4 linked regions of the Schizosaccharomyces pombe genome follow. Each later gene encodes a partner of the first gene's protein in a complex. Each region holds a gene or a part of one and is shown in the gene's direction. Other genes may lie near its edges. The genes, in order: mrpl15, mrp20, mrpl19 and img2.

What was found.
Region 2: mrpl15 (region 1) and mrp20 share a complex: the UniProt entries of both Schizosaccharomyces pombe proteins name them as parts of the mitochondrial large ribosomal subunit.
Region 3: mrpl15 (region 1) and mrpl19 share a complex: the UniProt entries of both Schizosaccharomyces pombe proteins name them as parts of the mitochondrial large ribosomal subunit.
Region 4: mrpl15 (region 1) and img2 share a complex: the UniProt entries of both Schizosaccharomyces pombe proteins name them as parts of the mitochondrial large ribosomal subunit.

Annotation. Positions count from the first base shown.
Region 1 is NC_003423.3:4,359,453-4,367,886, reverse strand, and holds mrpl15 (mitochondrial 54S ribosomal protein mL57), read left to right. Parts: upstream 1-4,095; 5' UTR 4,096-4,204; coding exon 4,205-4,837; 3' UTR 4,838-5,005; downstream 5,006-8,434. Other genes in the region: arg41 (argininosuccinate lyase), read left to right, coding at 1,120-2,502; SPOM_SPBC1539.02 (uncharacterized protein), read right to left, coding at 2,711-3,871; SIN component scaffold protein Sid4, read right to left, coding at 5,045-6,912, 7,133-7,247; U3 snoRNP-associated protein Utp6, read right to left, coding at 8,428-8,434. UniProt on the Schizosaccharomyces pombe protein: Component of the mitochondrial ribosome (mitoribosome), a dedicated translation machinery responsible for the synthesis of mitochondrial genome-encoded proteins, including at least some of the essential transmembrane subunits of the mitochondrial respiratory chain.
Region 2 is NC_003424.3:399,565-407,717, forward strand, and holds mrp20 (mitochondrial 54S ribosomal protein uL23m), read left to right. Parts: upstream 1-3,321; 5' UTR 3,322-3,495; coding exon 3,496-3,981; 3' UTR 3,982-4,248; downstream 4,249-8,153. Other genes in the region: ATP-dependent RNA helicase Dbp10, read right to left, coding at 1-2,307, 2,408-2,630; AP-2 adaptor complex subunit Apm4, read right to left, coding at 4,249-5,515, 5,574-5,638, 5,677-5,685; SPOM_SPAC31A2.10 (Ran GTPase binding protein), read left to right, coding at 6,238-6,360, 6,400-6,468, 6,570-6,604, 6,704-6,896, 6,939-7,901. UniProt on the Schizosaccharomyces pombe protein: Component of the mitochondrial ribosome (mitoribosome), a dedicated translation machinery responsible for the synthesis of mitochondrial genome-encoded proteins, including at least some of the essential transmembrane subunits of the mitochondrial respiratory chain.
Region 3 is NC_003424.3:3,203,730-3,211,438, reverse strand, and holds mrpl19 (mitochondrial 54S ribosomal protein uL11m), read left to right. Parts: upstream 1-4,898; 5' UTR 4,899-4,904; coding exon 4,905-5,339; 3' UTR 5,340-5,477; downstream 5,478-7,709. Other genes in the region: ribosome biogenesis protein Nob1, read right to left, coding at 157-1,121, 1,337-1,538; cytochrome c oxidase assembly protein Cox16, read right to left, coding at 3,459-3,569, 3,689-3,919; npt1 (nicotinate phosphoribosyltransferase), read right to left, coding at 5,846-7,078. UniProt on the Schizosaccharomyces pombe protein: Component of the mitochondrial ribosome (mitoribosome), a dedicated translation machinery responsible for the synthesis of mitochondrial genome-encoded proteins, including at least some of the essential transmembrane subunits of the mitochondrial respiratory chain.
Region 4 is NC_003424.3:584,141-592,729, forward strand, and holds img2 (mitochondrial 54S ribosomal protein mL49), read left to right. Parts: upstream 1-6,926; coding exon 6,927-7,106; exon of another isoform or gene 7,107-7,277; coding exon 7,278-7,415; 3' UTR 7,416-8,012; downstream 8,013-8,589. Other genes in the region: pdc202 (pyruvate decarboxylase), read left to right, coding at 1,457-3,172; csr102 (sec14 cytosolic factor family phosphatidylinositol transporter), read left to right, coding at 4,785-6,119. UniProt on the Schizosaccharomyces pombe protein: Component of the mitochondrial ribosome (mitoribosome), a dedicated translation machinery responsible for the synthesis of mitochondrial genome-encoded proteins, including at least some of the essential transmembrane subunits of the mitochondrial respiratory chain.

The DNA of each region.
Region 1 (8,434 bases):
GGACAATAAATGGTTCAGATTCAACATTACTATATCACACTTGTATTGCTCGGCAACCTTCAATAACTTCTATTTAAAAATAACTAGCAAGATCTAAACTGGCTCTAGAGTATTCTCGAAGATAACACTTTGTGGATTCCGTTTTGAGTCCAGACGTTCTGTTAACAACATATCCATACGTAAATTGTTAAGTTATTTGTTGGCGAAGACGAGTACTATAAACGAATTTTGAGAAGCTTGGTATAAGTAAATGTTAGACTGTCGAAGTAATACGCCCTATATGTGTTCATGCCAAAAGAAATCAATAATATAGTTGACAATTTGAAATGCAGTGTATAATTTAAGGCAGTAAGAGACGAAAGTAAAGAGGGAAAAGGAAAATCATGTACTGTTATCACTTTATTCTTCGTTGATTTTCTTCTTCTTTATAATCCCACTATATTTGGTGGATTCATAAACTCGGTTGGTCCATGTTTATTTTAATTGATTTTCGTTAGCTATCTTAAAAGAAATTGGGCGGAAGATGCATCATAATGTTTAAACCAGTTTAGTCTGATCAGACACTAGTAAAAACGAGAAAACAATACTTATCTACCAATGAGTTTTCAGGCATCTATAAATATCGTTCTAATAAAAATCGAAAAAACAATCACAACTAACAAGAAAATCTTTTAAGAATTCTCAATCTTTATAACAGTCAATTTTCTTAAATCTAAGCTAATGCTCGCGAAATTCTTTGGTAGCTCTGAGTTAATAAATCAGAAAGACAAAACAAATCATTCAGGTTGAGTACATTTATACAGTAAGATTCCAACCAAAGCTTCCATATATGATATCTTTTGTAAACTTAAGGAAAGAAATAACGAAGCGGAATGTAAACATTTATTAAGTGTTTATACGTTCCAATACGTTAGATCTTATTATAGCGATTATAATATCAATTTCATATCTATCGCCGTATCGTTAATGTGATATAACAATAGGTTGCGATAAGGAAGAGGTTACACGGTCATATAGCCATACTCTCAAAAGATTAGATAAATTAAATTTTAAGTAGTACTACCTCCTTTTTGCGTTGGTTGAAAACTTGAAAAACTGACTCTGTTTTAACAATTCTGAATGGCTTCTTCACAAAAACTTTGGGGCGGTAGATTTACTGGCGCCACTGATCCCTTGATGACAGCTTATAATGAGTCTATTCATTATGACAAGCGCATGTTCAATGCCGACATTGATGGCTCGAAAGCTTATGCTAAGGCATTAGAACAACGCGGAATCATTAGTGCTGATGAATTGGATAAAATGTTAGATGGTTTAGAGGCTGTCCGAGATGAATGGAAGACAAATAAATTCACTCTTCAACCTTCTGACGAAGATATCCATACTGCTAACGAGCGCAGATTGGGAGAAATAATTGGTACAGGCATTGCTGGTAAGCTTCATACAGGAAGAAGTCGCAACGATCAAGTTACGACCGATATGCGCCTTTGGCTACGTGATGAGTTGGACATCATCCAAAAATCTTTAGTTGGGTTACTCCAAGTTTTTGTTGCTCGTGCAGAGTCTGACCTTGATATCATTATGCCCGGTTACACTCATTTGCAAAGAGCCCAGCCTATTCGCTGGTCCCATTTCTTATTGTCTCATGCCTTTTCTATATTAAATGACTTGGATCGCTTGAAACAAATTTATTCTAGAGTCAACCGACTCCCTTTAGGCGCTGGTGCACTTGCTGGTAATCCTTTCGCCGTAGATCGTAAGTTCTTACAAAAGGAACTTGGTTTTGAAGGGGTTATTATGAATTCAATGAATGCTGTAGCTGACCGCGATTATGTTATTGAATTTATGTTCTGGGCTAGTATGGTAATGACCCATATTTCCCGTTTGGCAGAGGATCTTATTATATATTCTACTTCTGAGTTCAACTTCGTTACCCTTTCCGATGCTTATTCAACTGGAAGTAGTATTATGCCTCAAAAAAAAAATCCCGATTCTTTAGAACTTCTTCGTGGAAAGTCTGGCCGAGTTTTTGGCAACATGATGGGCTTTATGGTTTCGGTTAAAGGGATTCCTTCAACATATAACAAAGACCTCCAAGAAGATAAAGAACCGCTTTTCGATTCTTCCAAAACTGTTTTGGATTCCATTCAAATTCTAACCGGAGTTCTTTCTACTTTAACTGTAAATCCAGAAAATATTGCTAAGAGCTTGACTGCGGACATGCTAGCGACTGATTTGGCAGAATACCTTGTGCGTAAAGGTGTTCCCTTTCGTGAAACTCATCATATTTCCGGGTCCGCTGTCCGAATGGCCGAGGAAAGAAACACTACCATTGATAAGCTAAGTGTTGAAGATTTTAAATCGCTACACCCATTATATGAAGAAGATGTTGCAGATGTTTTCAACTATGAATCCAGTGTGGAGAAGCGTTGTGCGATTGGTGGTACCGCTAAGAGTTGTGTATTAGAACAAATCCAAACCATTAAAAAGGCCTTGGAGTAGATAAGTTTACATGAAATGATATGGATATACTTACTTTTTCTATATGTTCGTTTGATCATTTAACAGGGCTTCCTCAACATAATTCCCCGAATCGAGGTTTTTTGGTGTAAAACGGGCAAATAAATAATTGTAGCCTCATAATAATATTTTAAAAACACGTAACTTAAATCTTAAATCGTAAATATTCATACTGAATGAAGTAGTACTTTTAACCTTTCGTCTTTCTCCTTTTAACATTATCATCATCGTCAGATTCCCCTAACTCGTGAATATCTGCTGTATCGTCTTTTGATAATACAAGCCCGAAACCTGCATCAACAATTTGTCCGTCTTTTCCTTTCTTTCGCTCTTCTTCTTCTTTGCGTTCCTGAACTTTGGCAAGTCGATGAATTTGAGACATAAAATTCGTAGGTTTAAGATCGCTATATTGATTTGTATCAAAGACTTTCTTATGATAAGGCGCATCCAATTCATGATGACCTTTAAGCTGAAAAGCATCCTTCGCCTTCAACTCAGCAGGCTCTTTATCATTTTCATGAAAAGGATCATATTCTCCAACCTCCTCGAAAATATCGAGCTTCAAATCAACTGGTGGAAGTGGTATATCATGCTTAACAAAGCTTTTCCCTAAGCTATTAGCGTTCACGTTTAATTTCTCGGTTCTATGTTCATTTTCTAAACGTTCATTATCATTTTTTAACTTTTTTTCCTTCTTCACAAGCCGTTTTAGGATTTCACCATTTTCATCAAGCAAATATTTAACTTTTTTTCCATTTTCCAAAATTTTACGATATTTCGGTTGTCCATTAGGATAAAGAGGTATCTTCTTTTTTTCTTCTAGAATAGAAACAGATTCAGGATGTGATGACTCCTCAGCAACTTTCTCTAAAAGCTTGTCTGCTTCTTCGTCAACTTCTTTCTCACTCGAAGAAAGCAGAGAATCATCCAAGGCTAGCTCATTAGAGCGAACTTTTTCAAGCAATTTTCGATCAAGACCACGCACGAGATGAGTTGTATTCAAATCTCCGCCTAATTCTTTAGATTTTTCTGAATATTCTTTTGTCGTAATTTGGCCATTGCGAAGTTTCTCGTGCAATTTGTGCAACTCAATATCCTGTTTGGAAGAAGGCTCTTCATAAAATTGAGTATCTTTCCCTGAATTTTTTGCATTAGAATGTCTCGTAATGTCTGACGATGTAGAATGACTTAGTTGTTTTCTTTTAATTAGGGCTCTGGGTGCTTCCAATTTGGCCGTCTTATGTTTACGACCAAAAACAAGTCGCTGACTTTTATTCGATGAGAAATTTTTTAACTGGGAGGTTTCGGCTTTTGGAGTAGCTAAAAGCTTTCTGAAATCATCTTGGTTCATTGTGACAAATTTTCAACCAAAACTTCAGTATCCTTTCAATTAATTGTTTCTTTGGAATAACTTTGTAGTAGTTGTTTATATACACTTAACAGTAAAACACAAAATAAATTGTAAATTATTGAAACAGTTTGATAACATTAGCATACCTTGACGTTCGTACACTGTGATCTCAAGCGTAGTGCGCTATTTTACTACTTCGTAATCGGCCAATGTTTTTTAAAAACAACCTATATTCTAGTTGCAGAAAACAGATATCTTTTCTTTCGAAAAGTTGATTTTCCATACAAGGGTTTGAGGAACTTGAAGCTCTTTCTAAGATTTTATGCCATCCGTATGTTAACAAGACATTGTAATCGTTTAGGACTTCAAATTGAAAATAAATTTGTGTTCAGATCATCATCATGGAATTGTGTCCGTCGAATTGGGAAAATTGCGTGTAATGAAAATAAGTACAGATATGAAATGACATCTACAGAAGAAGACATTGACAGCTTTTTCAGTCGTGTTTTTGGTGAAAAAAATTACATCTCAGACAAATCTCTAAGAGAACAAATTGTAACTCATAAATCTTATAAACATGGGCTGAAAAGATATAATGAACCTTTCGTTTCGGTTGGAAATGCAGTTATCGATGTTTGCTTACTTAATCATTATTTGGAATCAGGAAACTTTAGCACAATACCTTCATACAAGGATTTAGTAAATCTTCGTTCCCCTGCTCGACTCGCTGAAGTTGCAAAAAAATGGAATCCTGAAACTGCCACACAATGTATTTTGCCATTAAAAGGGCCTAATTCTCCATCTTCGTCTAGTTTTGAAAAGATATACAGTAGTATTGTTTCCGGACTTGTTGCTGTCGTTTACTTCCAAAAAGGCGGAGTTGAGGCTATGAATTTTTGTAAGAAAAGCATCATATCAGATTTGACAAAAGATTTCGTGAGACCTAATACCGTGCATAATCAATAAGATGTGTAGCAGCAGGATAAAATTCTTTATGCAAAGGATGCCATAATATAGTACATTTTGCCATACGCTTATTATTACTATCGATTTATTTAACGCCTCTTTCATTCAGTCAGTAGTTAATAATATATTTCATATTTATCAACATTTGTATAATATAAGCTGCATCCCAAAATCTTATTGATCGAGTTGTAAGTCATTGGCATCCATTCACAAACTACGTTTTTTAAGCTCCCTTATCTTTTTCAGCATATCTGCTAAACACTGTTTTGAAACCAAACCGTCACGCATATTCTCCTCGTATATTAGATAATGGATATTTCGTGCCCATTGGTAGAGTCTACGACCTTGTTGCAGCTGGCGTCTGACTTGTCCGATGGTAGAAGGAAAAATTGCAAAAGGGATATTTAATTGGACCAAAACTGTTTTCAACATGTTGGCTGTTTCAACACTACACTGTTGATCTATATGCTGAAGGCCTAGCCGATAATAAAGTTGTTTTTCCTTAGCCAGATTAAATCTAGAATCAGGCATATTTAAGGAAGTAAGAGGCTGTGAGGTATGGAAAGTAGGGATGGTAGATGAAGCAGGTGTTGAGTAGCTTTTGTTCTTTTCGATCATTAACTCACTTTCATCTGACAATTTTGCATCAAGATTATTGGTATTAATAACATTTCTTATATCATTTTTTGCAGGGGCTGTAGACCCGTCATTCAGCATAGTATTCTCCTTATTATTTCCTTTGTCAGTAGTCTTTGTGGTTATTGCATTTTTTGAGCTTTCATTTGATTCTTGATCTCCATTTTGAGAAGTATGCCGAAGAATTTGTATCTCTTTACGGGCTTGGGTAAGTTCCTTACGCAAGTGCTCAAATTGCAAAAGAATAGCATCAAGTGTTGATAGCTGAACTCGTATTTCACTTGGAACCGCAATTTGAGATTTTTCATTATACCTTCCGTTGCCTTTAAGGTTAAAATCATTGCTAATAGTAGCAGATCGTACCTGCTTCGTATCAGGTTTTTGCTCTTTAAAGTCTTTTGTGCTTTTAGGGAATCGTTTTGGAGGACAAAGTGGAGTAGAAACAGTTGTTGACATTGTTGTGGGACAATAATCCTGCTGATTCATAAGCAATTGCTTGGTTATATTTTCAATCTGTTTATCTCTTTGTTGGCATTGATTTGATAAGGATTGTATTGTGGCATTCATCTCCAAAACAATATTAACAAAAGAAGGAGGTAAATCGGTAATGGCTTGTTTAAAAGGATCGATGTCTTGATCATTCGACGACATCTGTTTATTATTAGAAAGATTTTCCTGAGCCTTTTGACAATCCGTAGATTGGATAGGTTGACTAATAGAAGAAACACATGTAGATGAAGTAAGAGGATAGCCAGAAGGCGGTACTGGATATGACTCTGGTACAGTTTCCAAATGAACATTCCGATTTTGAAGCTCCGGCTGTGAGAAATGTTGTTGTGGATAACCTGAACTCAAAGAAAAATTAGGCTCAGGATTATATTGATTAGGGCGAGTGACTGGGGGTGGTACGTTACGGCTTGGTGGAACCTGTAAACTTTTTTTAGTCTCTTTAGATTGCTGATTAAACACTTCAGGGTCCAATCCATCTTGTTGATTAGGAACACTAATATTATCTCGTAGCTGTCCTTTTGGACTTTGGTCATAAGAGCTGGTGTGTGATTGAGAAGGTGGAAATGAAGGTGAATTGGAGTGCATATGACGAGCACTAGGTGAATCAATCACTTTCGGGGCGACATTCTTGTAAGGTGTACTAGTATAAGATGCTTTCTCCGAGTTAAACGAAGGCTCATGATGTCTTTGAGCATTTTGACTATTATCACCAAGTTGATGACGCGGATCCAGAAATAAGTTGTTTGAACCTGGTATTTGCTCTAAAGGAAGTCTTGTAGAGTCATTGGGGTTCGAAATTTCTTTTTTGGTGTTTTCTTTAATCGTAGTACTATTTACGCCATTAACAAGCTCACTTATTTGTTCATCGTTAAGTCCATCCAACAATTCAGCTATTCGATCAATTCTAGCGGTACGAGACGGATCTGCATCTACATAATATTAGTTACATTTTCAGTTGACAGACTTTTCGAAAAAGTATATGGACGTTACAGGTGAATACCCTTCAAGCCAAAATGTATGTCATAAACCAATTTCCCTCTTAAAATAGAAAACATTTAGTTCATCTACAGATGGAAGAAGACGGCATGAGTGTAATTACCCAGTGTTTTCAAAAGTTCACAATACAAGTTGACATTAAACTTTACCTACCTTCGTCAAGGGAGTCAAAGTATATACTGTCACCCGCAGATGGATGACTATCAAAATGAGAATGACCTAACCATCGGTAATCTGTACTCAAACTATCACCAAAAGCCTCATCCATTCTAAAACATGATTAAAAGGTTTAGTTTGTGAGTAGCTGACTTAAAACTAATATTGTTACCCAAGAGTGTAAGTCACATGCTCGAAATGTAAATAAACACCAGATAATAACAAAAAGTTGTTAACTAATTATGAGTATATAAATCATTCAAATGTATCATTAATTCTTGTAAATAAAAAGTTTTTCTATTAGAGTTACTAGAAAAAATGAATGAATTTGAAAAAGTGTAAAGGCAGACATAGCCCAAATCCGAACTTCTTGAAAGTAATGATTCTAAAGCCATTATATTTTCTAGTACTTAAACTTTAGTTTAATTTTATATTTATTGGAATTATTTTTTTTTCTAAAATACTCAAGTGCCCATAATCACTGAATTATTTTCTTTTTATTTGTAATAACGCAGCAAATATTTTTCCCAAATCGAGTATATAATAGAAATGTATGCGATATTTTTGTTACTGCAGTATTAATTCTATTTGTTCTAAACATTGTCCATAAAATTCTTTAAGATCACAGCTTTTTAATTCCACAATAGGTTATTTCTATTTCAATAGTTTTACTGGTTTCGTTGTCAATGAAATCAATAGAAAGCCATGAAGTGATTCACAACTTGAAAAAAATTTGTCTTATATTAAAAAATAGCGCTACAGAGCCCTAGTGCCCAAGCATAATCCATTATTTCCTTCGTAATTGCTTTTAAGCTATATAAAAAGCCATTTAAGTTTGTAAGGTTATCTTCAGAAAATTATTTGATAGTCCTTTGATATTGAAAGATTGATCATTGAGCTTTAACGAATGATAAGGATTGATTTTTAACTACAACATTGAAACTCTTCGTAGATCAACTAATCAATTCCATAATAAAGTGGGGTTCTAATATTTAAACACTATTCAAAGATCATATATAATAAGCTCTCTGACACTCTAAAAGGGTATATTCTTTACAGCCGACTATTAATAATAAAAACGATCTTTTCAAATGCGTCAACAATATTCATCCAGACTAAACATTTTTTTTACGTGATGTAAATGCTTATGCTGGTACAAAAGTTAAAATTACACGAAAGGAAACCAAATTTTTATTAAGTATTAAAAAAAGCATAAATCCCAGACAAAAAATATTGTACCTAATTATATATACATCTGTACCGTTTAACCCAACATTATGACTAGACCCGTCTCAAGAT
Region 2 (8,153 bases), on another chromosome or scaffold:
ACGGCCGATTGTTTTTGGCAAGTCGTTTCTCTTTGAGCTCACGCGCCTTTCTAATTTCAACAGCTGATTTAAGCTCACTGTTCACCTTAATACCTATTCCTCTTTCTTTAGCCTCTCTATTACGTTTATTTTGTTTGTGATAGTTATCACGGAACTTATCAGCTGGTTTTGGAGTCTGTAACTTATTATGTTTATATCGCTTATTTTCCCGTATAGGAGAATCGTTGGCACCGAATGCTTTAGATGCTTTCCATTCATCAAAACGACCACTACGATATGTTGCAGGCAATTTCACGCCGCTTTCGCCACGAATTATCTTGGGAGACCCTTTGGACCCGTCTTCGTCGTTAATTATATTAACAAATTTCTTTTTCTTTGGATCCCAACGTTGTCCCCCCTTCCTTGATTGTTCAATTCCTTCGTCATTTGTTAAATCGAGAATAGCATGACGAGCTGCGGTAGTAAAATTTTCACCAGAATTTATAGCATAGCCAGTTTCTTGAATAGATTCCTTTGGAGCGTAATGAGACATATAATACTCTTTATCTTTAAAATCAGTTGTCTTCTTTTTTGATAACTCCTTAGGATTTTTAAATACCTCTTCAAGCTCTGACTCTGAAGCTTCTGACATATTACCAGGAGAACTGTCAGTGATTTTATCAGATGCAACTTCAGATTTTATTCCTTTTGGTTTTACTTTGTTTCTTCTTTTCCGCATGATTTCTGCAGCTTCTGTCTTTAAGTGACCACGCTGACCGATTTCAAATACTGTTTCTGATGGCCGATAAGAAGAAACTTTTGAAAGCAATTCAGCATATTTCTCCTCGGCCTCAATTACCGATACATCTCCAAATAATGGATTGTTGGAACTCCAGCCCTTGCTATCAACCAATTCCTTAGCTCTTTTAGCACTCTCAGCACTACAAGTAGCTCTTGTGCGAAAATATAGTTTCTCACCCCTTGCAGCAACGTTGGAAAGTTGCTGTAGCTCAACGTCTCTCGAAACTATTCTTTGTACCCATTCTAGTAGCTCAGCAACAAGTTCTTGGGGTAATGATCCCAAAACAATCTGTTTTGTAAAATCACAATCCGAGTCAGTTTTAACCTGCTTCGAGGATGTAACTAAAGGTCGGTTTAAAAATAGTTGTAAGTCTAATAAATAACCAGCATCTTCTGCTCTAACCAATGAATACGCCCAGCCAGTGCGTCCTGCTCGAGCTGTACGTCCTACACGGTGAACAAAAACTTTTGGTTGAGGAGGGAAATCATAATTAATAACATTAGCAAGTAATGGGATGTCAATACCACGAGAAGCTACGTCTGTAACGACTAGTAAATTTGTTTTTCCAAGTCGAAAATTATTAATTTCATTGAGACGCGCTTCTTGGTCCAAAGACCCGTAAATTTTTGAAACCGAATATCCTGCTTGAACAAGTAACTCAGAAACATACTCGACATGATGTTTTGTAGGAACAAATACTAGAGTAGAATCTGGTGATCCAGATTCACTTCCTTTAAGCGCTAATTCTAATGCACGTTTTCTTTTCTTCGGATTATTGACATTTCCTATTTCTCTTGGGCGCACGTTATCTTTTAGAGGAAGCTTAATGATATCTTGTAGTATACATAAGAGAGCAGCTTCGCGTTCAGCGGTTTTAACAGAAAAAAAGGCACTTTGTAGATCCGCGGAAACCTTGGATTCTACATCAAGGCGTACAAGAACCGGGTCTTGAAGTCCAGCCTTTGCAAAATCAACAAGAGTACGTGGAAGTGTGGCAGAGAAGAGAAGAGTTTGACGAGAAGTCGGCAAAGCATGTAAAATCTCTGTCAATTGAGCAGCAAAACCCATTTCAAAAAGTCTATCGGCCTCATCGAAAACGACATACTCGATTGAACTCAACTCCAATTTCATTTCCACCTTTAAATGTAGAAATCTTCCAGGAGTTGCGACCACAATATCGGGTTTTCCGGATAGCAAACTAAATTGCTCCTCTAGACTGACGCCACCGACGATAGCGACAGATCGAAGATCCGTACCTTTAGAAAAGTCTTTGACGACTTTCACAGTCTGAAGAGCAAGTTCTCGATTTGGCGAGAGAATTAAGGCGCGAGTATTAGAGTTTGCTAGAGTGGACTTCAAATGCTCAATCATAGGTATAACAAAAGCTGCAGTTTTACCTGATCCAGTACGTGCCATACCTACAACATCACGACCTTCCAATAAAAGGGGAATCGTTTTGCGCTGAATCGGCGTAGGAGCTTTAAAACCCTTCTTAAATATTGCTCGAAGTAAAGTTTGATTCAATCCTATAATTAAGTTAGAAAAATATCAAAGTAATTTAGATTACAGTGTCTTGAAGCATAATGCAAAGTGACCTTATGGCAAGTAATCACGAAGTTAACATACCCATCGATTGGAAATTAGAAGCCTTTCCATTCCCCTTTTTTCCCTTCGTCCTCCTGTTAGACTCCAAAAGCTTCGAGGCAATATAATTACCATCATCTTCATCGCTCACATTTTCACCAACATTTTCGTGCTTATCTTTTTGATTATCAGTAGCAATATCAACAGGAAAAGCTTTTAAAGAATTTGATATATCGACCTCGTCGGACGTCTGGAATCCGGACATTTAAGACGAGTGAGCTGCACTTTTGTTGATTTTTTAGTTCTCTAGTGTCGCTGGCAAGAAAATTTACCGTATGAATAACAACTATCAAAAGGGCCTTCTTAAGTTTGATTTAACATTCTCATTTCAATTGTTCTGCTGCGTTTCTTTATATTAAAAATAAGTAATCCAACGTATTTTAATAAACTATAACGAACTTGAAATAAGCTGCTTTATATGTCAGCAATACTACACTACGCTACGATATACTACGTTGTGTATCACTATATGTCACATGTTCATAATGTTCTATTTGCTCTATCAGCTTTACATGATAAGTTATCTAGAAGGATATAATATCATTTATGATAAGATGACTATCAGTTATAATCCTTGTTATTTCAAATGTTATAAATTGAGAACAACTGAATTTGATTCCTCAGTTCAGTTATAAGATATCTCAGCTATAGATAACGATATATCCTATATATTAGAATACCTATATCCAATTCCTACTTATACTACTTGCGTATTACAATATAATAGATCACAAGGAAAACTCACCGCAGTTCTACGTATCCTTAAATCAGATACCAAATTGCGTAGCTTACATATATTACGTTCTAGGATAATACAACCAGAGACGTTATTTGTTAATAGTATACAACTGAGCTTTGATGCAATAAAGCAACCGGATTCTCAGCACGTTAGTACTAAACAACATTTGAACTCCGTAATCCAACAAATGGTTAATAACTAATCGTTTACCTAAGGCCGTTGACATCAAATTCATCTTGAAATCTACTGTTGAGAAAAACCATTTGTTTCTCTTTTTTTGCATAACTAGCACAAGTTGCTTTAGCCTTGAAGTTGAAACTCAATAGTAAATATGAGTAAAATTGCTGGGAAAAGATTAGTGTACTTTCCAAATATAACGTTCACGTTATGCAGAGGACTAAATCTTCAACCTAAATTTGCAGTATTTCGCGTACCTCTTCATGTTAACAAGTTTGATGTTCGCGATTATTTGCAACATGTGTACAATTTAAAAGTCGTATCAGTTAAGTCAAGAATTTATCAGGGCAAACTTTTTAGAAATCAACTAGGACAGGTTAAGAGACCACAATCTGAAAAACGCGTCATCGTTGAGATGGAAGAACCTTTCGTTTACCCAAATGCCCCAAATGATTTGAAAGATTGGCAGGAGGGTGAATTACTTCCTGATGGTTCTAATGTGAAAACCCTGAGCAGGTATCCAAAGGTCCTTGAACAAGTTGACATGAAACGGGTGAACGAAGAGTTAAGTAAGTTACAAGATAAGCAGATACTCGAATCACAACAGAAAATCGCTAGACTTTTAAAGAAAAAGTATTAGTATTTTTTTCATTTCCCAGGTAATGTTTTATTTTGGTTTCCGTCTATTCATTAATGCCTACAAAAGCATAATTATAGCCTCAAATGCCTCATCGAAGCGGTATGGTGTTTAATTGCATTCATTATAACCTCTCTTCTTTCATCTATTAAACTTTCAACGCCACTTGTTTCATTTTGAAATGTTCTAAAACTATTTTGGAAATTCTTTTCATGTCGGAAAAGCACGGTCGTCAATTAATAAAATAATAATTTTGTATCACAATACTTCTTAAATGCGTATCTCGCAAGTTCCAGCCCTAGTTGAGTACCTTACCCATTTAATACTTTTGTATTTGCTATTAGAAGGTTCACTGACCCTTAAGTATTGCACATGTAGACCGGAGCTGGTAAACATAAGAATATTGAAATCTAAGGATATTGGAGGCTTCGCCCATATTTGCTGGTTAGTTGTATTAGATAACTCTACCTCAGCGTAAAAAATAAGTTCAGTTTCGCCTAAAAACCGGGGAATTTTCCAATTGATAATATTTTCAGAGGGCTCGTACCCTGCCTTTCCTCGATTTACACGAGGATTAGCTTTTACCACATTTGTGGGAACCGGTATCCGAAAGTTCAAAGAAGAAGAAAGTTTGTGTGGATAGTCTGCTCGTATACTGATACGATAAATAATTTTTTGTTTCGACAACTGTTCGACAATAGGAACAATTCTAAAAGGAATATTTATGTTTTCATGTGAACGATAACTCATTAATTCAACCTCACCATCCGGCGGAATGAAAGTAATTCTGTGTTCATTTTCAAATTCCGGCAATCTAACACATTGATGAAACTGGCAATCTTCTAAAATGACAAATCCTCCGTTAACTGAGGACGGATTTCTAGAGTTATTTGATTTAGACTTGCTTTCTGATTGTTTTAATTTAAAATCAAGCTTATCATTTAGCCCAAACTGACATTCAGGCATTCCAGAAAGCATTGCACGCATTTTCACGACACCAGAAACATCTGAGCGTAGCACATTTCCAGTAGAGCTAATAAGTAAATTCATTCTTTCAACAATATCAATGTAGATACTATTTTTTCTATACTTAATGCCAGCTCTACGCCATGGTACAGACCCTGGTATTTCAGAGGAAGTGGTGTGTGCCAACTGAGAGGAATGAGACCTTTTCAAGGACAGTGCATTGCCTTTCTTTTTGACAGCTGTTATGCTGACAGATCTTGCAAGTGCGTCAGGTTCAGTAGTCTGAATGATACCATAGTCTATCATTTCATCCAGCAACTCGAAAATAAAGGAGACATTGTCTTTGACTGTATTTTCATTCAGTTTCCCAAAATAATGTGTCAAATCTTGAATTAGACTCTCCAAAAATTCCAAAACAATCATAACATTTGGATTTCCTTTGGTAATGGCAACCACGTAAAGATCCTCGTGTTTCGTGTAAATGTAAGTACTTGATCCAATACTGACAATTGGGTGCCGATAATCAGTATTTGTTAGAATAGCAACGCGAAAAATTTCAGTTACTGATTTCCTTTCAAATGAAAAATTAGTGAAAATGAATCAAAAGCACAAAAATGTAATCTACATACTTTAAATCATGCCGAAAAGTCTTGCAAATGAGCGTGTCACCTTTCAGGTTAAAAATAAACAATCCCTAATATAGTTAGCTACAAATAGAATATTAATACTAACCGAAATCATGGAATATTGATAATATGCAAATGTAACAAGTACTGAGTATCTGACTACAGGCAGTTGAACGTAGCTTTGAACGATATGCAACGAAACGTACAGGCTATTCAACCCCGTTATAAGAATAAACGTAGACGGTCCAAGAGGTATTTTATTGCAAATGGAATAGGAGAAAATTATGCCATATAACTGTCAGTAAACAAGATGCTTTTAATAAAATTAAATAACTTTATTTCCTAGTAGGATGATTGAGGCAGTAGCAAGCAATACATTAAAATTTACAGTCCTTACAGAATCATGTAAAAGAGATGACGTTTCGACTGTCTTGCGGTCATTACCAATTTAAATTGGTGAATGTCGAGTAATGTCTTTGCAATAACTAGCAACTGCTGAAGCAATTCTATCTTTGTTTGATATCGCATATTAATAAGATGCTTATAAAGAGGTAAGTAGGTATTTAAATTACACCAACGACTTTTCATTCCTCAACTTCGCTTCTTGCAATTCATAATGCAAGTGGATTTAGTATAAACTAGTATACTTACAGTAATTACATAAAACATGGACCAAGTTTTATCGAAGGTTACAACTACTGCAGCAACATATGCAACAGCTTATGCTGTTAGAACTGGACTTCAATTGGCTGGTTCCCTAGTTGCTAAACGATTCTCTAAATACATACAAGTATGTTGGTTTTTTAAAAATGGTTTATAACAAATTTAGACGTCTGCTCCAAAGTCCTCTCAGTTTAACTTGGAGTTGGTAAAGTCGCGTTTAGAGCAAAAAATACAGGTATGCTACAGGAGCGATTATTGTGAAAATACGCTCTTTACTGAGAACTTAATGTCTGTTAATTCTTGAATTTTGCTTTTCCACTAACTTGAATTTTACAGGCTATTACACCAGCCGTAGATTTAATTCAACTTGTGTAAGTTTCTAATACATCAATACCAAGCTACTGTTTCGTAAAACAATTGACTGTTTAATTCTGTAGTCCGTTATGGTCGATGAAACTAACTTGGAATAGTGCTGCGCGTGGAAATTCAAGTCTTCAGAATTTAGTTCCCTTGATCATCAGGCTACGAGACCATATTGATGATTTTCTAGAGTTTATTGATTATGAAGCATCTGGCTCAGAAAAGAAAAGCCCTGAAAAGGCGGATGAAGCTTCGGAAAAAATTTTCCGCCGTTGTGAAGTATTACTAAGAGAAATTGAGGAGGTAAATTCATGAAGTCAATGATTGTTTACTAATCTGTAATAGACTATTCCTCTAATTAACCTATCATTGACAACGGCGGGCATAACCCTTAACACAGCTTTAAGCAATACTATTTCGCCATCCAGACTCCTTCAAGCTCAATGTTTTTTGGAATTGTCTGATAAGAGGTTCGAAGAAAGTCATACTGAGATTCAAATAGGTCCTAAATTCACCGTTGTGTTGTATACCTCGTTTTCTCAACCTTCCAAATCGGATGGGCCACTGGATGTCCGATGGCAAGAGACATTTGCAAAGTCCGATCTGTATATTAAACGCGTCGTATCTGCGTCGCAAAAGTTTTCTTACGTGATCTGTATAGATGAGGATTTGAATGATGGAAGATATCACGAAGAAACAGTTGGTAAACCGACGTCTGCGCCAGTTTTTGGGAAAAAACTTGAAATAAGTTTACAAAGGATGTCTTTACTTTGTTATACTGTTTCTGGTAGACTGCTTAATATTTCACAAGCTAAATCTCCTGTTCTTGCATTGCAGCTAACATCTATAAAAGACGTATCTGCTTTAGATAAAGCGCATCAGGATAATTCGGAAGATTTAAATAATCCGTTTATTAAAAATAACGATAAAACTAAGTTTCATCAAAATATTGACTGGATAGCTTTAGAGAAATATTTCGAAGTCAATGCATTGGATATTTCAGATTCAGAAAGTGAAGATTTGTCCGACATATTAAGTGATTCTGAATTCTCAATAGGAAACAGAAACAAAAATATTGGAAATAATGAATATAGTGCTCAAATATCATCGGATCCTGCAGAAGAGGAGATAGCTAACGCAATGCACTCTCTAAAGCTTGAACCCGAGACATCCATATATCTGACTAACCCAGGCAGCCTTTCGTTATTGGAATACCTTCTTCGTCTCTGTTCATTGCAAGAACTTCACCAGATTTCTTGTCTTGAAATGACTGATTCTCAGTTGGCTGCGATGTTGAATAGTAACTAAGCACGGGTTAATTTGGATCAACAAGCTCATGTATTTTTACTATTGAACGAAGTTATTTCGAAATAAAATTAATTATTTTTACAGACCTTGTCTACTTAATGACACAATTAACAAACAATCGTTATATTTATAAAATTTTCATAAAAATCGGATATCAGCAATGCTGATTTCAGCCAAAGAACGTATTATTTTATTGTCATGATTAAATGACTTTCAAAATGGACTACTTATCACTTGTACTCGTATCGTTTT
Region 3 (7,709 bases), on another chromosome or scaffold:
AAACACCAAAAAATTAGACCTAAAAACCATTTGCAAATTGCATGTTTGAATAAAAGACCTTGTACGTTCTTAAAAATGCTTGCAAGTTTGCTTAAACACCATATGTAAGCATGTCAACTAGAAAGCGACATAAGTAAATTAAAACCAATCCAATCTCTACCTTTTTTTTCTTCTGACCTCGTTAGGATTTTTCCTTCCAGCTCCTATCTGAACGTACATTCGATCTTTGGTAACACCGGTAAGCAGAGAGGGAAGATAATCCTCATCCATAAGATCGATTTCCTTCTTTCGCTGCATGCGGCGTACAGCACGTTGATATTCAGGCTGATCTTCACGTAAAACAGGATTTTTCTTTCCTTTACCATTTGAAGTACCATGAACTGGCTTAGGAAGGGAATATTTTGTGCCTCGGGTTTTCCACTCGAAATTCTTCTTCAAGTGCACTTGAAATTCACCTTTAGAGTTGATACTGCACGTGGTTTTAATTAACGTGTTACCACCGCAGGAAGGACAGAATTTTTTCTCCATGTCTTTCACTACTGTATAGCATCCGTGGCAACGGAGAACGAATCTCTTAACATTTTGAATTTTGAAACCATCTGAAGAAACTAGATTTAGCCCAATTTGCAATAAGACATTTTGCATCGAAAAATCAGTAGTAGCGCAGGCGACTTTGAGATGTTTGGGTTGAACAAGGCTTTCACCGACGCCATCCTCAGCTTTCTTTTTGCGAATATTTGAAGGAGTAATCCATCCATCATCTTCATCATCTTCCTCATTGTCTTCTTGCTCTTTATTTTCTTCAGTATTCGGATGTGCTTCTTTATTATTGGAATGTTGTGTCGTTTCACCTTCCAAGACTTCGTTCTCTGCGGATTTAGGATCACTGTTCTCAGTTTCTTTTACAGAAGCTGTATCGCTTGATGTGGGTTTAGATGCATCTTCAGTAGAATTTGAATTACTAGGGGGTTTTCCATTGATATGCTTTTGACCAGGATACTTGCGAAGTCTCCAGTCACCACCATTAAACTCGACTTCTAACTCATAAGTCAAAGCCAAAATTTGAATATCGGTTACAGAGAGTGAGGAGTAATCACCGGTTTGCTTTGCAAATTCGGAAACTATAGTTTGTTAGAAAGCTGCTACCAAGAATCAAAGTATTTATGATGGAAGTAGTTGAAAAGAATAGCAGGTGTAAGAAAGCGATCAAATTCCAATATGATTAAGCTTTTTCACCCACCTTGCTTTCACTTCTCAGAGATGACTGTGCACAGAATAAAATCTAGCTGGTTGCTTTCTTCAACCACTATACAACTTTCTTTTTAATAAAACATACCTTTTTTTATAAATTCTGGTTTTGGAACTCTTTGAATTACTTGATCGCCCCAAAGTTCAAAATTTTTCCTCGATGTTTCGTCTCGAATTTCTGCAATCACTCGAGGAATGGTATAAAAGCTTTCCGCAGAATTTCTTAATAAAGTACTAGAGCAGATAATCCCACCTGTATCGAGGACGAGATGAGTAATGCTTTTACTCATTTTGGCACTAGTTTACTCAAACTGATGTTTTTCATAGTACTTACTGCACATGTTTGATATATACGCTATGTTGCAGTAAACAATTTAAGGTAAATAAATCACGAACTAAAGCAATGAAAATATTATAAGAATTGAGAGTTACAATAGTCAGAAAATTTAATATGAATTCCAATGCAGGAGTTTAAAGTGCTTTTATTAGAAAACCGGTATGTAAGTTGAACATAGTGGACTTGAAATTTTAAGATATCTTCCACCTGATGCTTAAAGTTAACAATGAAAAATTTCTATCCATGAATGTTTTTACTCAATCAAGTGACTACCAATGTTTTAGAGTTAAAAATATCTGGTGAGCTTGATAGTAACTGATCATGATCTGGCCATTGCTTACAAATGCTTCAAAGAGGCCGTTCGGTTCAACTATTGAGGCTTTAACTATTCTTTTAATTGTTGCGTCTATTAGTTAGTTTCAACCCTCATTTTTTTGGTATACTATAACAAGTAGCTCGAGAAAATTATTGAAAGAGCACAATGTATTGTTTGCGGATATTTAAAAAGGAAATGAAAGTAAAGTACTTTGGTTGGTGTTTTCTCTTGTACATTATATATTCCCAAAACACCGATTCAAATCAATCGGAACAAATTTATATGGCACAAAAAATTGCAATTTAGTGCAATAGCTCATCGAGTAATAGATCGATGACATAGCTGAACTTTCATAATTATTTTACAGTTCTTCGGGGAAAGGGTAAAATTTAGTCATTTCATCTGAATAAGTTTTCAATTTCATGCCTCATAAGTATTTGCACAAGTATGTCAGTAAACATTAGCGGGTCAAATACCAATTTTTTGCATATAGCATACGCTAAAAAATCGATGAAATCTTTATTGTTTAAAAGTATTGGTTTACTCGTTAAACGCTTCAATTTAGCAAATATGTACATATCTTCGGCATAGTTAGCAAGTAACAAAACCATTTATAAGTTGTGGTAGATTGTTAACTAAGTGGATTCGCTTGTGATAACTTAGATTAATCGAATATGATATCTCGGCTTGTATAATTTTAATATCACCTATGCAATAAATCAGCTTTGCAAATATCACGCCGTCTTATACATAAGAACGTTCACCAGGAATCCAAACTAGTCGTACGCTAAAAATAAATTTTTACGGGTATTGGAGATCTTTTGTTTACTATAGTGCGTTAGTTTGTTCACTGCTTCTGGATAATATATATAATTTTCAATGACTTAAAGACGATGCAATACCAAGTATTACCATTATAAAGAAGAAATTAATATTAAATTTAATCCTTATTAACAGTGTGTCACTATTTGAATACTGTCCTTAGCTCCTCCATCTTTCGTTGTAAACGCATTCGAAAAGGCTTCTTTACAACTTAGACAAACAGTAGATAGAATCAGACCATGCGTTAGTATCATTAGTAATTGTAATGGTCCAAAGCATATAATAAAGAGAGATGGCACTTATTTGATTGCTTTCAAAACAAGTTCTATTTAACAAGTTACTTATATATAACGGAAAGCCAAAAATAAACCGTTTACTAGTAAAGAAACCTTTCTGAATGCTCCTATTATTAAAACGCTTTTAGGCTTGAGTGACATATTCATAGTGAAATTTACGCTCAAATATCTTCATTGAAAGTTTATTCTACTGAATATGCTTAAGTGTAAGTATTTGGTCCTTTAAATTGAAGATAATTATATATGAGCCACATAAATATTATTCTCATGTTAGAAAAAAAAATTCTTGCTTTATTTATTTGAGTATTTCCATATGCTAAAACACTCTGTATCATAAAGTCGTCTTCAGCATTCTCACTTCAAAAACTTGTATCCTTTTCAATACTCCATAATTAATAATAAAATAAAGGAACAAAATAACAATAAAATCGTTCATTATTCATTCTTTATCGCTTGAATTTCCTTCCCATGTAGGCTCCCCTTTTAACCTCTTTACACGTTTATTTTCGTACTCCTCGTTCTGTAGATTCAACTGATCTAATAAGATCCTCTATAACAGGTGGTTAATAAAAAAGGAACTGGTGAATGTAAATTCACGAAAAGCAAATGCACTTTGCAGCTGGTTGCCAAAACTTAAATATTGTAAAACAAGATCAGCACTTTACTTACATAATATTCTTCATTAACGTCGACCTTTCTTCTTCTTTTAATAATGTCTAACTCTGCATCCCGGGACAAGGATTTAACTTGTTCATCTCGTCTGTTAAATTTGACTTGGGAAATGGGGATCAAGCATGACCAGACTAATAATACTGAGCTCAAAAACGGCAATCCAACGTAAATAAACGGACTTTTCTTGGCTTGAAGCCTATACCAACTTTTAAATCGATAGAAAAGCATTTTAATTTATTAACATCCTTACATTCGCTGAAAACGATGGATTGTTAAGAATGTGTAGTAAATAGCAAGTTGGTTAAGATGATTATGGCAAACTTCACTCAGCATGTTAGGATGGAAATTAATAAGATAGTCGTTGGTTTGTAATAATTAATTTTAAGAGTAGAGTTTTAATAGAAATCTGCACTTTGAAATCTTTTTATTTCTACTAATTATTCAAGCTGCATCGCGTGACAGCATTCCTACATAGCCCAAGCACTTCAGGTGAAAACCCTTTATAGTTTTAATTACAATACACATTAGGAAAAAGAAACATATCGATGGCATGTGCTAGTGACAGACTGTGACTTCCAGTAAACATGTGTTTTACTTTGTTTACCATAAAATGGTATGTAAAATGTTTATTGAAAGTAATAAAATAGCTGAGAAAAGACCATTTAATTTCAGCTTGTGATTCAAATGAAATAATCATGCTTTTTAGTTAGGATATTTGCCAATCCCTAAAAACTTAATATATTAATTGATAGTAAGGAGTTAACTTTGAAAAGCTATGTAGCTAAATTTTGGTTTGCTTCTTTTAAACGGCTTCAATTCAGCGCTATTGTTGTTCAACAAATGAAAAATTTTGCGACATTTTAACTAATCCGTATTTGAGATTCAAAAATCAACTAAAATTTTTCAAAAAAATCCTAAAACGAACAACGTTTATGAAAACGTCTTTTCCATTTATCTGAGTTGCCTATTTAATGTCAATACTTTTACTTCTATTCAATCAAGCAGAAGAGAAGGACACATTTGGTCTATTCGGGAATTTTTCTGACTGCTATTAAAAGCTTTAATATTACAAATAAGTAAACACATTACAATTAATTCACCCAAATATTTCAAATTAGTTATTATTCTAATTACAATTATTTTTAAGGAAGAACATGTTACTTTATTGCATGAGAGACATACAACTTACAACTGTATTTTCTTCTTTAACCTTATGGCTTCTACTAGAACGACAATCATAAAATTAATTGTACCGGCAGGAAAAGCTACGCCTACGCCTCCAATTGGACCTGCCCTTGGTGCTCGCGGGTTGAAGAGCATAGACTTTTGTAAAGAATTTAATGCGCGGACGGCAGGTTGGATGCCAAATACCCCAGTGCCTTGTAAAATTACTGTCACACCTCAAAGAACATTTACTTTCACTATACATACTCCTCCAACCAGTTGGTTAATCTCTAAAACCCTCGACCTTGAAAAAGGTTCAAGTTCCCCATTACATGATATAAAGGGACAATTAAGCTTGAAGCATATATATGAAATTGCCAAATTGAAAAGTACTGATCCAAGCTTACAAGGAATAGAGCTTCTTTCTCTTTGTAAAAGTGTCATTGGAACAGCTAAAAGCATGGGCGTCAAAGTCGTACCTTAATCTTATGAGACGCCAGAGCATTTTGTAACTGGTCATACTTGAGGTTATTTTTTTTTCTATCTTGTTATAAACTATTCCCCTCTTTTTTCTTGAATAAAAGCAGTTAATGATATGACTTTTTACTATTACCGACTAAAACGTTGTCCCTGTTTTCTTATTTTCTCCTTTTCTTAGTTGTTTTATATTATTCCTTCGTTAAACAAGCAAAGTAAAAAAACACGTTTGCCATATAAAATTAAAGAATTGCATACCGTTAGTTTACAAACACATCTTAGACTAAATGATTACCTTTAGCATTAAACTATCAATATAGATAACGAAACAGATATGCTAAGCAGAAAAGAAAATGAAGATTTTCAAGTGTGAGTTTTATGTTTACTCTAAGTCACGCCTTATGAAATGCAGCTCAATAAAAGAGAGCCTCAAACTCTGTCTATCTATCAAAAAATAAGAAAAAAAAAACCAAGATTAGTACTGCAGAAACGCTCGAAAATAAAAGAAATGGCTTATGCTATAGGGAGGCATAATTGATGCTTGGCTTGAATAACAGCATCACGATCACCAGTATTTTTCATGATATCGTCACTAATCTTCACTGCTTTAGTTCCTTCAGCGGAAAAAAGCTTAATAACAATATTCATAGGTTTGCTCACTTCACTGGGATTGGAAACTTTTTGGAAGTCGCTGGTAAGATTTGTGCCGATGCCAAATGCAGACTTAATGCCACATTTCTCGCAGTATTTGTACAGTTCGATACATCTGTCAACATTTAAAGCATCGCTATGAACAATTACTTTTGTGGAAGGATCGACACCTATTGATTTATAGTGCTTTACGACTTTTTCAATGTATTCCTCAGCACAACCGCTATCTTGACGAACACCATGGAAAACATTGGCTAAATCGTCGGCAGAATTGGCTGTAAAAGATTTGAGAAACACATCAGTAGAGAATGTATCCGTTAAGGCTATTAAAAGACTAGTACCAAAAGTTTGGACCCACTTTAAGGAAGCAATACGATTTGCTTGTTTATAATTTTGAGTAATAGCTGCAATGCCCATATACCACTCGTGAGCAACCGTACCAGAGACATTTAGATTATATTTGGCGGCGAAGTAAACATTAGATGTACCAAGGAAACTTCCAGGGCCCTTAAAATCCTCTTGTGCTTTCATGAGACCTTGGAGAACAATTTCCTGGGTGTGAGGATCACGACGACGACGAGTGCCAAAGTCAGTAAAGGCACATCCGGCTCGGATGAGACGCTTACCCTTCTCGTAAGCTTTTTCAAACTGACCCTCAGGTGACCAGTCCTTATCGACAAATTTAAAATAAGATTCTGAGACGAGAGCAAGCAGTGGAATTTCATAAAAAATGGTATTCTTCCAGAGGCCGTGAATAAAGATTGAGAGATCCTTAGTTTCAGAATCATAATTAAGGGAAATTGAATTTTCAGGATCAAATTCGAACTCATGCATGAATTCATAAAATGATTCCTTTAAATAAGGACAGTTCTTGCGAAGCCATTGCTCTTCTTCAGGAAGTAAATGTAAATTCCGTAAGCCTCTTATTTGTTCCCGTAACCAGTTATAAGCCTCCTGATTTAATGCCATTTTTGGGGACCGGTTTGTATACTTATATGATACTTGAGCATCCGGATAATGCTCTAAAACGGCTTGAAGCATGGTGAGTTTGTAAAGATCCGTATCGAGGATAGAGACAACAGCCGGTTCACTCATCGTAGCAAAAAGGATAGATATATTTTCAAATTATATATTAATATTGGTTGAAAACCTGAGGTGTATAGAACCCGACGAAACTTTTTTATGAAATCAATGAACGTTTGCCGTTAGCGCATTAAAAACGCAAGGAAATCAAAATCAAATAGAATTAAAATTTAAAGTGTCTTGATATGAAAGATATTAATTATAATTTCCCCTACTAATGTCAATTTCAATCAGAACACTCTTAGTCGCAGGAAATAGAAGTCAATTTTTTTGTGAAGGTTTTCAAAATTTTAAAGGGTTAGGATCTTTTTCAAGTTAGTGTCAATTGTCAAATAGATGTGAAACATTATATTTTATACTACATGCGCATGTTATAATGCAGACTCGAAAAGTATACCCGCCAAAATTGCAGGAAATCAAATTATATTATTTTTAACAAACGAGCATACCTTCAACAAACAATTGTACTACTTTAATAGCCTGTAGCAAACAAAACCAATTTGAGGACGAATCTGATCTTGGTAGATTGACATTTTGTATCTTGGCGATGATTTACTTTTTCAAGTAACATCATGGTATTGTTACTTACTTTTATTTACGATGTTAAAATTGTTCGCCTTTTTATGGCATTAGGAATAACTTT
Region 4 (8,589 bases), on another chromosome or scaffold:
ATGTAGCTATCATGATTTTATTCTTTTTAATACTGTTTTCCACAACCGTTCATAACGGTTGTAAGGACCGAGTCTTTCTGATGGCTCTGGTTCTGTTTCCTTTAAAAATAAAATCAATTCGGTTGAAGTCTCATGTTGTTAAATTTCACTTTCGAAGTAGCGAATTTTTTTTTTCTATTTTGAATATAGATTTGTTTATTAAATGTAGTAATCAATTTACTCATGACTATTACTTTTGTCAAACAAAATCATAATACAAAACTAAATCTTTAAAGGTAGAATATTCTCCTGTGCGAGTTTACAATACTTTGGGATATGATCAAATCAATTTTTTTTAGATATCTGTTGAAATTTTTATAACAGTAATTTTGTATTATTTATCATACTATTTATTAGCGTTACCTGCCCTCTTAAATGTACACATCATGTGGGGGTGGGGGAACCAGTGCTGGAGATCACTTCTTGCTATACCGTTTGGCTCATGGCAACTATTGAGGATAGCAAGGAGCGTTACAATTTGCAAATCAATATGATAAACAGAAAAACAACAAGTTGAAGCTTAACACTGTAGCAATATAACAATGAAAAAAATAATCAGAATTAAAGCAAGAAGCCTATAAATGGTCCATCAATTGTGAAATCGATATTGCTAGATGTCAGGCAAATCGTGAACTCGGTTGAAAAATGTCGTTAATATTCATGTGAAATCATAATTACAGCAATATGTTCAAAGACTTTTGGATACTTTATAATAATGAGGATTCTATTTTTGAGTGGTCACATGGTCTCGTAACCATGAGGTACGCCTTACTTTTACGGACGAAACAATATTTCACATTCAGCTCTCAATGTTAAGTATCCAAACAAACATGGTACAAACCAATAAAGCATGTAAATTAATAAGCTTGAAATAAGGAATAGTCATTAAATTCAGTTTAGACATAATGTAAAAGGTATCAATTTTGTCTTTGGTATAGATACAATTAAGAATTTCGAGACGGAACGTTCGGTGATGTAGAGTTTTCATAATAATTTCTGCAGTTGCTTACACTAACCGAAGAATCGTCCAGTATAAACTGCTGACGATGCCTTAAATCAATAATTGCAAATTGCATAGTTGACGTTTTCCCGGGTGGCACATAGTGAGATTTGAGTCGAATAATGAAATAGCCTCTGACGAGTGGTTTCGTACCAAGAGTTTCAAAAAGAATAATCCACATTAACTCAATGTATCATTGATGACGGAATGTTGCTTATATAGCCAGAGTAACCCTGCTCTGAAGCATCTAAGGTTATATCTTTTTAACTTTTAGCTAGCAAACTCACTTGTTCCTTTAAGTTCAGAAAGTATCTGCTGGTTATTCAACAGATAATTATCTTGCGAAAAAGGAATACACACTCAGCATTGTAATTTGTTGAGTATATTTCACAAGCACATTAAATTGCATTATCAAACATGAGTGGGGATATTTTAGTCGGTGAATATCTATTCAAAAGGCTTGAACAATTAGGGGTCAAGTCCATTCTTGGTGTTCCAGGAGATTTCAATTTAGCTCTACTTGACTTAATTGAGAAAGTTGGAGATGAGAAATTTCGTTGGGTTGGCAATACCAATGAGTTGAATGGTGCTTATGCCGCTGATGGTTATGCTCGTGTTAATGGTCTTTCAGCCATTGTTACAACGTTCGGCGTGGGAGAGCTTTCCGCTATTAATGGAGTGGCAGGTTCTTATGCGGAGCATGTCCCAGTAGTTCATATTGTTGGAATGCCTTCCACAAAGGTGCAAGATACTGGAGCTTTGCTTCATCATACTTTAGGAGATGGAGACTTTCGCACTTTCATGGATATGTTTAAGAAAGTTTCTGCCTACAGTATAATGATCGATAACGGAAACGATGCAGCTGAAAAGATCGATGAAGCCTTGTCGATTTGTTATAAAAAGGCTAGGCCTGTTTACATTGGTATTCCTTCTGATGCTGGCTACTTCAAAGCATCTTCATCAAATCTTGGGAAAAGACTAAAGCTCGAGGAGGATACTAACGATCCAGCAGTTGAGCAAGAAGTCATCAATCATATCTCGGAAATGGTTGTCAATGCAAAGAAACCAGTGATTTTAATTGACGCTTGTGCTGTAAGACATCGTGTCGTTCCAGAAGTACATGAGCTGATTAAATTGACCCATTTCCCTACATATGTAACTCCCATGGGTAAATCTGCAATTGACGAAACTTCGCAATTTTTTGACGGCGTTTATGTTGGTTCAATTTCAGATCCTGAAGTTAAAGACAGAATTGAATCCACTGATCTGTTGCTATCCATCGGTGCTCTCAAATCAGACTTTAACACGGGTTCCTTCTCTTACCACCTCAGCCAAAAGAATGCCGTTGAGTTTCATTCAGACCACATGCGCATTCGATATGCTCTTTATCCAAATGTAGCCATGAAGTATATTCTTCGCAAACTGTTGAAAGTACTTGATGCTTCTATGTGTCATTCCAAGGCTGCTCCTACCATTGGCTACAACATCAAGCCTAAGCATGCGGAAGGATATTCTTCCAACGAGATTACTCATTGCTGGTTTTGGCCTAAATTTAGTGAATTTTTGAAGCCCCGAGATGTTTTGATCACCGAGACTGGAACTGCAAACTTTGGTGTCCTTGATTGCAGGTTTCCAAAGGATGTAACAGCCATTTCCCAGGTATTATGGGGATCTATTGGATACTCCGTTGGTGCAATGTTTGGTGCTGTTTTGGCCGTCCACGATTCTAAAGAGCCCGATCGTCGTACCATTCTTGTAGTAGGTGATGGATCCTTACAACTGACGATTACAGAGATTTCAACCTGCATTCGCCATAACCTCAAACCAATTATTTTCATAATTAACAACGACGGTTACACCATTGAGCGTTTAATTCATGGTTTGCATGCTAGCTATAACGAAATTAACACTAAATGGGGCTACCAACAGATTCCCAAGTTTTTCGGAGCTGCTGAAAACCACTTCCGCACTTACTGTGTTAAAACTCCTACTGACGTTGAAAAGTTGTTTAGCGACAAGGAGTTTGCAAATGCAGATGTCATTCAAGTAGTTGAGCTTGTAATGCCTATGTTGGATGCACCTCGTGTCCTAGTTGAGCAAGCCAAGTTGACGTCTAAGATCAATAAGCAATGAGCAAGCTATTGAGAGTGGAATTGGCAAACAAAGTTTCCTTTGATTTATATGTTTTTTATGATAAGCCCATTCAATTCATATAGTCTTTTAGTATAATGATTAGTTATTAAATTTATGTTTAAAGCAACTTTTTAGTTTAAAATTTTTCAAGTCAAGTTAGGGTGTACGTAAACAAACAATACCTTGGAAGCAATGAATGAAAAGGTAGAGTTAATCCAAACAATGTGGAAACCAGTTTCCTTGCATCTACTTACTAGTTTCGCAGAAAAATTGCTAAACTGCTTAAAAGCCAACTTTAACATTCTTATTTCTTACATAGGAGCTACCGTTCCATTCACATTGTGATATGCTAAGAATTTATTAGTTTTACAAAAATTGGGTGATTCTACTATTTAATACAGTGGTTTTGTAACGTAATGAAATTATAACGCTCGTTTATTACGATTTCCTAGGTAATGTAGCGGGTAAAGGCAATTGACTGATATTATGTATCACTCTATCACAGCAACGGACGAACGGTTTGCGTTGTTGTTTATAAATGGTTCTGCAACGCAGCTTCTGACTTTGACACTCTACACCACACCATACTTCAGCGCTCTATTCTTTCGCATAGGAAGGTAAGCTGCATTTCGTGGCGTTTGGTACCTTGAAAAAATATATTTTGGTTAATATTCGTTGGCTTTTTCTTTTAATTCTTGCTACTAATTCCAAGAATTGTGTAAGTATAGGAAGAGGCTGTGTTGATCGGTTAGTTTCGTAATTTCGGCATACTAGTGATTCCTAAAATACCGACTACTAATAATTATAAAGCTTAGATCACTTCTTTGGCTAAAGTAATTAAACCAGGAAGTCTTAAAATTCCGCTTTTTAGCATCCTAAAAATTTCCCCGTCATTTCTCAAAAGTGTTAAACGCGTGAATGTTCTCAAAGCTCTGTTTTCTTTTCTTTGCTTTTTGAACGGCTTTGTCTTTGCATTAATTTTTGTGACGCGTTTTGTGCCTCCAATAGGTAATTAATCTAAATCCGTTTAAAAAGTTGTAGGTGACTTTTTATTTTATTACGTTTTGCTTTCATAAAAAAATCCATTTCCTTCTGTGCGTTGCATATTCATTAATATATCACTTTGATATACATTAAGGTGAATTAGAAATTATTGAGCTCCTCTCCCTTTGTTATTATTTCACGCTTTTTCTCAGGCCCACTTATAGTCCTCTGAGGAATTTTTTATCTTTTTTTTTAAAATACCAACTCAGTTTTTGTCGAGTGATTCTTCTTTTTTATTCATTCATTCGGTTAACTAAGTTCCCTATATTATTTTGTTTTCTACTACAAGCATTACGTTTTGTTTTTCAGTGAGCTTGTTTCGCATCTCTGACCAAAAGGAAGCAAATTGACGGCTAGTGTATTTTTGACTCGTCACATTCTTTTGTCTATCTTTGCCAATTTTTCAAATTATTATATATCTTCGAGATTAACCTCCATTCTTTAGGCTTATTCTCGTAATTTCCTTCTCAATTGAGTTCAATTTTATTAATATTGATTTCATCTGATATATTTTTTCCTTGGACTTTTTCTAGATTATATTTGTTTGCGCGCAATTTACTTATTAAATATGCCTGAAGGAGCCGGTAGACCGTGGAATCTCACAGAACTTGAAGAAGAGAAGTTGAAGACTATGTGGAGTTATTTGTTTAAGCTCTTCGGCATTACTTTACTCGAAAGAACTGAATCTTGGTACACAGTGAAGACACACTTATCTGATGATTCAAGTAGTTCCTCATCACATCGTTTAAGCAGCGTCTCATATGCGAAATCCCGTACACGACTTGAACTAACGTCTTCATCTCATGGCTCGGACACTCGCAGTTTTAATGATAAAACCAAAAATGTGCATTTGGAAAGAGTTGAAAAAATTGCAAGTGAATGGGACCCGGAAGGGCTTAGAGTTTGCTTTTGGGATGCTGTTAATTGTGATGATCCTGATGGCCTTCTACTTCGTTTCCTTCGTGCTCGAAAATGGAACGTTGAGGCTGCGTTGGAAATGTTCATGAAAACCGTTCACTGGAGAAGTAGAGAGATGAATGTTGGTGAAATTGTATGTAACGCTGACCACCTTGATAAAGATGATGATTTTGTGCGTCAACTAAGAATCGGAAAGTGTTTTATATTCGGTGAAGATAAACACAATCGTCCAGTTTGTTATATTCGCGCACGTCTTCATAAAGTTGGTGATGTCTCACCCGAATCGGTTGAGCGACTCACAGTTTGGGTCATGGAAACTGCTCGTTTAATTCTCAAACCTCCTATTGAAACTGCTACTGTTGTTTTTGATATGACTGATTTCAGTATGTCCAATATGGACTATGGGCCATTGAAATTCATGATCAAGTGTTTTGAAGCACACTATCCCGAATGTCTGGGTGAATGTATTGTACACAAAGCGCCTTGGCTTTTCCAAGGCGTTTGGTCCATCATCAAATCTTGGCTTGATCCAGTGGTTGTCTCAAAGGTTAAATTCACTCGTAATTATCGTGATTTGCAACAATATATAAATCCTGACAATATTTTAAAAGAATTCGGTGGGCCTAATCCATGGAGATATACATATCCAGAACCCTGTCAAAACGAAGCAGAAGCTCTGAAGAATGTTGAAGCTCGTAAGAGTCTTAGAGCAAAAAAGGATGCAATTGCTAAACAGTACGAGGAAGTTACAATGGATTGGATTTTGAACAATGGTGACATGGCAGAAGTGAAACAAAAACGTCGTAAGTTAGCTTCACAACTTATTGATGCATACTGGAACTTGGATAAATACATCCGCGCACGCTCAGTTTACGACCGCATGGGCCTAATTGCTCCTCAAACTTCCCATACTTTGCTTCTTTCTCAACCTACAAATGGAGATGTCAAAGAATCAATGGTAGAAGTTACTAGCTCGGCAACTTAGTCGGTCGTAACTTTCAATATTCCTGCTATTTTACATTGTAATCCTTCCCCTTGCCTATACTCCCGTATACTGACTAATTGTACTTTCCCGTGTTATTCTAAATAAGATGCTGGCTCAAAATATGATTGTATCATCTATTAATGCATAACTTTCAAGATCTTTTATATCAATTAGTTACATATGAAATCTCTTTCCTACGTTGATTTTTACACCCCTTTTCGTTTTACCATTTCCTTATCGCTTTAATTTTTTAGCACTCTCTTTAATGCACTTAAAATCATCTAGAAAGGGATAACTTTTTTTAGGTCTTATGGCTTTTCATTGAAGTTGTTGGTCGCAATACTTATCCATCCATTTTGTCTTTATTAGAATCAATGATCAGTTTTATTTGCAAATTAACTTAGATTTCTTGCTATTTATTATTATTTTTTATTTTATTGTAGGAAAGCGGTTCGAAATTAAAAAAAACAACAAGCTGAACACCTAAATGCCTACTCCAAAATATAGTATTAATTTAATGAGTATGCACCTTCGCTGAAGTATATTCCGTGCCGTAAAAATACTTTCGAGTTTAAACACGCGTGAGGTTCAAGCACCGATTAAATTTATTTAAAACAAGAGCGTTTTATTTTATTTTAATTGTTCTTAGTGAATCACTTAATCTTAGGCTCCTGTTTGACAGTTGTTTAAAACTTACAAATTTTTGGAGGTTATGATAGAAATCCTCTTTATTCGCGAATGCACGACGACTTCTTTTACACATCCACCATAAATTCCTGCAACTCGTAGAAAGTTTTGTTGAACCAAATGCGATCATCCTTAAAGCCAGTGCTATCAAATTTGAGGTTCAACTCAACAATTGCATCCGAATCACTTCGGTTTCATGTTTCACGTACACCTTCAAAAAATCTCCCAGTCTATCTAGACTACAAACAACGAGGAACGAAAATTCTGACTTTAATTCGTAAAATCCATGGTGATTCTAATGTAAGTATACATATTCCGTCAGCAGTAATCTCTTGGCTAAAGAAAGTACAAGTAAAGTCACTATGCTGCGGAAATTGTTCTATCAACTTTTTGCTTTAACGGCCAACCCAAGTTTATTTTAACTTCTTTTATTCGTTCTCTTTTTTTTTTCTAACAATATTTTATCAATAGGCTTTGCGGCTCAGGCTCATTTCCACACTTAAAATGTCACCGAAAGATGTTTATGTAAACAAGTTAACAAATCAAGTTGTCCTAAAGGGAAATCACATAGTCACAGTTCGTGAATGGTTACAAGACCAAGGTTTTTAAGTTCCTAGAATTTTTCCTTTTTTAGATTGTTACTATGTATGTACGTATCCTTCTTTCAAAGGAATGATAAAGTTGCTTTTTATCAACATAAAACTCTCGAGCATATATATCAATTTGGCTTTTTAGCATATTACTTTTACTTCATCTCCTTGTTACAGCGGTGATAATGTCAAATAAAACACAGCTGTTGCAAATAATTAATCTCGATTCATTTCTTCTCATCATACGTGGTTTTCAAACTTGACAATGGAAAAAATGCATCTTTTGTGATGGTTTTCCTTAACTACCTTTAAATAAATAGTTATTCGAGCTTCAGTAGAAACATTCAAGAGGTACTTGCGTAAAAAGAAATTCAAACATCTGCTTAATGTGAGGCGTCCAAATGCTAAATACAATCTTTTTTTTGCTACCTATTCGTTTGTTTTGTTGAATTTATAAACGCTTAAAGGAAATTATAATATATATATCGAAACTCCGGTGTTTTTATTTTTTGACTGTAGTTATAGACAGAATACGTTTAAGGCTATTAGGGTATATAACTAAATTAAAAATTCTTTTCTCAATATTGTATAGTTTGTAAATTGACAAATATTAAATGCTATATCGAAAACATACCTTCAAACATAATCTATATATCTGCGTCATACGCCCATGGACTGTTCTTTACCTTTCCCTTCACACATACTTATAATCCTGAAATCTCAACGACTTTTTCATTATTTTTGAATTGAACTTGGATTTGTCTGTGATAGGAATATTTTGACAAACATTTTTAGCTTTTAAAATTTTTGCTTTGTTCTGAAGACGTTGATTTACAATTTGCTTATGAATTAATTATTCACGAGAAGAAAATTCCTTGTAGTTTATCCCTTTTTTATTGGTGATTATAAGCTGAATAACTCTTAATGTTGGGAATTATATTTTCTTTAGTGAACTGAGGCTTTCTCGAAAAATACTTACGGTTATCCATGATTTAATGATTTTCTGTTTTTTTTGTTATTTTTTTTTCGTTTATCAAAAAGTGGTTAAGCATTGACACGATATAAGGCACTTTATTTCCGTGTTGAATTTTTTGTTTTGTTTTTTCTTGACATTAATACCTTACTTTCCTTGAATGCGAACAAACCGCATTCATTTGTATTCGATTATCGAAAGCCTTTTATTCCTTTTCTTT